Tribolium castaneum: one gene and its partner. The protein of the gene in region 1 interacts with the protein of each later gene in a pairwise test. Links are inferred from orthologs where the notes say so. Each region holds a gene or a part of one and is shown in the gene's direction. Other genes may lie near its edges. The genes, in order: Unr and Sxl.

Region 1 (3,838 bases):
AAAAATTTCAGTGCTATTGCCAAATAGGGACAAAAGTCTCTAGAAAATTGGGTAATGAAAGCAGGATCTTTATTATGCTCTTCTGAAAGGTCAAATTCACACTTTTATGGACTTTGTGTACCTTTCTGCTTTTTTAGGGCGTTATTAATTATTATTGAATGTGTAAGGACAGAGTATTTATAAAAAATAAGTGTGTTTATCACATAATAACTTTTCTATAAAAATATTTAGCGAAATTCTTTTTATTATTTTCACTGTTGTTATTCTTTCCTTTGTGCAAACGAGCCGAAACCGCAACAATGTTTGAGCATTACAGCAAACGTTATCATTATTTTTAAAATCAAATTATAAATTCAAATACATAATAATTAATGATGTCATCATAACTGGAATCTAATTTGCTTTGGAGTCTGTATTTTGTGTTGCATTTTTTACTTGCTCGGTTCTGAGTCTAATGTGAATAACCCTGTATTTTTATTTTTACTTGAATTCTGCAATTCGGGATTAAAATTTACTAGACATTTCGGACGTGCCGAAAACAGTAACGAAATTTTCGTAATTCTTCATTTAATCAATTATTTAGCAATTCTGCGTGTATACTGTTAATTTTTTACAATTTAGAGAAAAATATTAAAAATATTTTAAAATATAAAATATATAAAATATGTGTTGGTAAATACTAGCGTTGTCTTTGGTTGTGCGCTTTTTCGTGATTATAAAGTTTTTTTTGTTGGAATTTGAAAGTGGATAAAAAGTGAATAAGATTTTATTTTTGATTACAAAGTGTTATTAATACAATTGCGTTATCAAGTACTATAAGTATTATTGAAGTGATTTTTTTTCCACTGAAAAAAAAAAAAACATGAAATATTGAATCTACAAAGCTGCAATTAAGATCAACAACTGTTGATACATTTAAGCATAAATTGTTCCAAAAGGTTAGGCTGTTGAATGTCAAGATACAAATCATTTCGTGTAATAAGTGTAAGTCCCAAAATTTATACAACGCTCCAAACATGCGAATAAAAATTTTCTCGCCATTTTTTCAGCTCAGTGGCGCTCCCAATGGTAATTTTACTACCAAATAACCCTTGATTACCGCTGATGCCATAATTTTTTTGTATTTTATGTAATAAAGGATAGATAATACAATACACTGCTCGCTTTAAAATTCCAAAGAATGAGACAAATAACTTACTAATTATTTAACAAAAATTAAATACCGGGTTCGTCAAGTTTTACACTCAGGCACTTCACCTCTTAGAAGAGAGAAAAAAAATAGGAAATAAGTATATTCCACTGCACTGATATCCAATCTCGCTAGGAAAAAAAATATTTTTTTTCTATTGATTCATTTGTCCAATAAAAACGAAAAAAAACATTTGACCAAAAAATCACATTAGCTTTTTTTTACATCAATAGATCGGAAATACGAAACAAAATTAATCTGCAAAAATTTGACTTGAAAAAAATTGTTAGAATTGGATTAAAAGCCATTTTGATATTATTCATCGGAAATTTCAGTATAATTTATGAGGGACAAGATTGAGTAGTAATAAATCTTCGCTACAAAAGGATCCACTACCTACCCCAATAACAGTAATGACTGAAATTTTACAACTAGCGGCACGGTCCCATCGGGCGGTTTTAAAGCCAGGACCGGAATAAGTACACTAACGTGTTTAAAATGTTTTTATTAAAAAATTACATCAGAAGTTCAAATTGATGACTATTTTGGTCTAAGCACGAATTCTTCGTTTACAATTCGCATGAACTCTTGCCGTAAGATTTAAAGATTAACATTCCATTTAGAGTAAACAGATAAAATAAATGGTAATCCGGGCCTGAAAAATTCTTACCAGCTGCCTCAACCTTCAGACCCACCAATGATCGCGTGCCAATTTTACTACAAATGTAATAATTTTTTTAAAATCACCATCCTGATGGAGACCTTTTGTGGAAGTGATTTACAATTTTACCAAAATTCATGGGAAAAAAGCTGCCCCAATATCAAACAGAAATTAAAAATCAACGACACATTTTCTCAAAAATCTAATTAGGCACTTCGATACACTACCTCAAAATACACCTATGGACCAAACATCGTTGACATTAGACTATAGTTAACTAAGCGAAAGTGAAAAAACACACCATACAAGTAATCATTTTAAAAGTTGGTCAAATCGTTCTTCTATACAATAAAATCACATATGATTTTTTTTAGAATTTTATATAAATTACAAAGATGTGTAAAACTTGACGAACCTGGTATTATTGTATGGATGATTCCTGAAAATAAACTGTTGTAATAGTATTGATTTACGAATAATTAAGTTAAAAAAATTAAAAATTTGAGTGACAAATGCATTTTTGTCTTTCATTCGAAAATTATGAAGCGTTTTTTGTTCTTCAATTTTTACTACTATTTTTTATTCGTAGGGGCAACTTGGGGGCATGCCACGTGCGTCTCGAGAACCCAGCCCACCCAGTAAAATACCAAGGCGTCGTATGTTCAATGAAAGAAAGTTTCGGTTTCATCGAACGCGCCGACGTCGTCAAAGAGATCTTCTTTCACTTTTCCGAAGCCAAGACCAAAGAGGAATTACGCTTAGGCGACGACGTCGAATTCACCATTCAAACGCGCAACGGTAAAGAAGTCGCCTGTAACATAACCCGTCTACCTTCCGGCACCGTCATCTTCGAGGACCTCAAACCGGAAATCCTCAAAGGCCAGGTGCTGAAGCCGCTAGATCGGGGCCCCAATGCACGCCACCAAACGGACGCCCTCCCGGGGCGCATCCGCTACCGGGCCCCCGACCACTCCGAAGTGGAGATCTCCTTCGGAGACAAGGACCAACGTGGGGACTTCACGCTGCGTCATGGTGATTGGGTGCAGTTTAAAATCGCAACGGATCGTCGAGATGGACTCAATAGAGCGACGCATATTTCGCTTTTGGACGAGAGTTTTCTGGTGTCGGGCGAGAAGCGGGAGCAAGGAGTTGTGGCATCGGTGAAGGAGGGGTTCGGGTTTTTGAAATGTGTGGAACGTGAGGCTCGATTGTTTTTCCATTTCAATGAAATACTGGATGTGGATAGAGAAGTGGTGGTGAATGACGAGTACGAGTTTACTGTCGTTCAGGATCAGACCAGTACGTTTTCGAATAATCGACAAAGTGCCATTAGAATGAAGTGGTTGCCGCATGGAAGCGTGCAGTTTGAGACGAGAGTTGAGAATAATTTGACGGGGACTGTTTTTAAGGAGATACCGACGACGACGTGGTTGAATCGAAGTCCCACGAAGAATCAGAATGGAGAACATGCTCCCGAATCGGGGTTGATCACTTATCAAGTGAACGGAGTCAAAAAGACTTTACCATTCTATTCGAAAGATTGTGATATGAAGCATTACCCGAGGCTTGGAGATAAGGTAAGGATGATTTTTAGGGGAAAAAAATCGATAAATTGAGTGAGACAAGTGACATACACAAAGTGTCAGTAAGTTAGACGATTTTTTAACAAATTCCCCAAAATAACATAAGTAAAAACCACAAACATTATTATAATAATAAAATAGCGGAAGAATAGGATTACAATTTACATTACCAGACAATATACGATATACGAACGACGCGTCATAAAATATTCTACGAGAAGATAGTAAGGATAGTCCTAAATAACTTAAAATGTTTATATAATTATTTTTGTCATAAAATATGTTAAATTTGTAACATACAAATTTAACAAATTTTTTCTGAACATTTTCAATTCGATTAATATGAACATTATAACAAGGTTGCCAAATAATTGTGCAGTATTCCAAAATTGGACGAACATAACA
Region 2 (3,299 bases), on another chromosome or scaffold:
AAAGTGGGCAAGACGACGCCCTATTAACGTTACGACCACCACAGTTGTTTTTCCAAAAATATTATGTAGTCATCATAAATCAATTTACATGTAACAAAAAAAATATGGGAGTGCAAACCTTCCATCAAACAATGGATAATCGAATAAAATTGTAGAAATTTTAAGGTGAGTGAGTGTTTGGCAATAAAACAATTACGATTATCGATTTGTTTGTGTTTTTCAGGCTTCCAAGATCACGCGCGCGATTTACAACAAACAGTATTACAAAATTGATAGCAATACGAATAAATAAATTTTTTATAAGAATTTTGTTTAAAGAAAAATATTAAATAATTGTTAAATTTCCAATCAAAATAATGGACAAATGCATGTCACTAGAGTTAGATATTGGATCTTGGCAATATTGTTGTTTTTATATATAGCAGGCGTCTTATTTCTATCAGCGGTCACTCTACATGAACCCAAAAATTTAACACACGGAAAAGTAAGTAAAAATGATAATTATTGGTGTTATTTAATTGTTTTTAGCAAACGGACCGTAATCAGCCCTTTTCCCGTCTAAAAAACTATGAATATGGAATACCAGGACTTAGACCACCTCTTCGTGGTCGTTCCAAAATCCAATGGTGTTCCACAGAGCTGAAATACATCCATCCAGCTATACCACCCGTCGCCTTGGTATCATTTCCGGGAAGCGGAAATACATGGTTACGTTACTTACTTCAACAAGTTTCCGGTTTTTACACCGGTTCGGTTTACAAAGATTACGGTTTGTTGAAAAATGGTTTTCCCGCCGAAAATATCGCCAACGGTTCGGTTCTTGTCGTAAAAACACACGAATGGGGTTACAATGCTCGGAAAATCTTTTCGAAAGCGATTATATTGGTTCGTTCACCGGCAGCTGCGATCCAAGCCGAATTTAACCGACAAAGCGGTGGTCACATTGGATTTGCATCACCCGATAGATACAAACGGACTAAAGGAAAATGTATATTATTTATTGTATTGATAATTTTTTTAATAACTTATACTTTTATCAGATTGGCAACAATTCGTCAATGATAAGCTCGAAGCTTGGAAACAAACCAATCTCGACTGGTTATATAATTTTACAGGACCAACGCACGTAATTTTTTACGAGCAACTTGTCGATAATCTTGAACACACCCTCAAGACGATTATAAATTTTCTCGACATATCAACGGATGAAAATTTATTCAAATGTGCACTTGAACGAAAGGAAGGAATTTATAGGAGGAAACGTCGAGTGCTCAATTTCGATCCATATACGGACGAAATGAAACGAAAACTGGATAAAATACAAAAAAAAGTCTACGAGGCGATTTATAATTTTGCGACGCCGAGTTAACAACAACGTTGTTGCGACAATAAGGCCTTTTTAAAACGAAACGAGTGGCCAAATTTTTCTAGTATCTCTCTTATTCATGTAAACAGTGGCAATCAACACACGATTATAGGCCTAAAATAAAATTATACAAACACAATTTTGCGACTTATTTTCATTGCTCAAATTTGAATTTACATTAATAATAATAAAAGGTTGAGAATCGCTGAACTCGTAAAGTGATTTATCATTTTTCGACGTTGGTAATTCTGTTCCCACTATCATCAATAAATAATCAAGTTTGTAGTGGTAGAAAATTAGTTCGTTTATTTATTTTTCAAGTTTTTTCAATAAACAAAGGTAAGCCCCTTTATCCCGCCAATTTCCAGTAAATGATTATGTTTTTGTCGTACTTTTTACTCGATTTCATCCTCCTAACCTCTAAATGACACATGGCCATTTTGTTTCAGTTTTTTGAAAAGATGCAACAAGAGAACGCCGCCAACGGCCCCCAAAATGATTTAAATGTGGGGGCCGGAGATCAAGTCGAATGTGACAAATCGAAACTTATCGTTAATTACATCCCACAATTCGCAACTGAAGAGGATTTAGCTCTAATTTTCACTCCCATCGGACGAGTGGAAAGTATTAAAATAATGAGAGATTATAATACGGGCTATAGTTTCGGTTTCGGTTTTGTCAAGTATTTCAACGAAGAAGATGCCGCGAAAGCGATTCAAGTTATCAACGGAATGAATTACAAGTAATTGAAAATTTAAGATTAGAACTGTATTTATTACTGTTGCTATTGTCTTGTAGAAACAAACGCCTGAAAGTGTCATATTCGCGTCCTCCAGGTGCCGATATGAAAGCATCCAATTTATACATCACTAACTTACCCAAAGACGTGACTGAGGACGATGTTCACAGACTCTTTTCAAACTATGGAGAAATCATCCAAAAGTCCGTTTTAAAGGACAAAATTACCGGAATGCCACGTGGAGTTGCCTTTGTCCGGTATAATAATGATGATAATAATAATTATTAAAACTTTGTAAATAATAATTTGTTTTTCGTTTAGTTTTTCGCGAGGAGAAGAGGCCAAAGCTGCCATAGCCGACCTTGATGGCAAACTGCTTGAAAACGCAATGCTTCCGTTGAGTGTTCGCGTAGCAGAAGATCACGGCCGTCAAAAAGCTCAATATTTGGAAAATTGGAGTTTTTCAATGCACAACAGGGGTAAGAAACGGAGGTTTTGACTTAATTTTGGCATTTCGGGTGTTTAGGTTTTGTACCACCGTTTCGAGGAGGGACAATGAATCCCTTCAGGAAAATGCCACCACAGCCGCCTGATAATTTACAAAACCGTAATCGCTTCCAAAATTATAATTCGAATAATGTGAGAAATATGGGAGCAGGCGATAATTATCTACAAAATTCGTTTTTTTGTTAATTGCTTCATTTTTTCTTTTTTGTTTCTGACTGAGAATGGTTTTTGTGTTAATTGAAGAGTTGATTTTATTTTACAAAGTTTCTATATTTATTTTTATATTGATAGAAAAGCGTGCCAACTAATTGTATGTTGAACGCTAAATACAATAGACATTTATTTATTTATTATTATATATATTTATATAAAATAGGAAAAAATATGTACGCAATTGATGTGCCTAAGAAAAAACTTAACACCAGCTATGGTTTTTTTTTTCTTTTTGACACACAAAATGTGTTAATTTTTTTCTTAACCAACGATCTGAATAATTTATTGTAATTTATTTCTAGTTTCAAGTGAATAAAATTTTAATTGTTGTTTTCTATATTTTTTCCTTTTATTTAATAAATTACCTACTAGGTTTGGTGTTTCTTCATCTCTGCTTCTTTTGCCCTTTTCACTTGCATTTCTCTTTGTTGTTGTAGCACTTTTTTAAACACATCGTCTTCTTTTTCATTATCA

The links.
Region 2: the proteins of Unr (region 1) and Sxl interact in binary tests that used the Drosophila melanogaster proteins (3 or more experiments, as listed by UniProt). The link is inferred for Tribolium castaneum from reciprocal best matches to the Drosophila melanogaster genes Unr and Sxl.

Annotation. Positions count from the first base shown.
Region 1 is NC_087394.1:5,367,004-5,370,841, forward strand, and holds part of Unr (cold shock domain-containing protein E1), read left to right. Parts: intron 1-2,439; coding exon 2,440-3,427; intron 3,428-3,838. UniProt on the Drosophila melanogaster protein: RNA-binding protein that acts as a regulator of dosage compensation in both males and females.
Region 2 is NC_087401.1:17,596,479-17,599,777, reverse strand, and holds Sxl (sex lethal), read left to right. Parts: upstream 1-1,626; 5' UTR 1,627-1,705; intron 1,706-1,815; 5' UTR 1,816-1,827; coding exon 1,828-2,108; intron 2,109-2,164; coding exon 2,165-2,362; intron 2,363-2,426; coding exon 2,427-2,604; 3' UTR 2,605-2,631; downstream 2,632-3,299. Other genes in the region: WSCD family member AGAP003962, read left to right, coding at 365-484, 529-988, 1,041-1,369; GPN-loop GTPase 1, read right to left, coding at 3,194-3,299. UniProt on the Drosophila melanogaster protein: Sex determination switch protein, which controls sexual development and dosage compensation in females. Sxl protein is only active in females: it is inactive in males throughout development.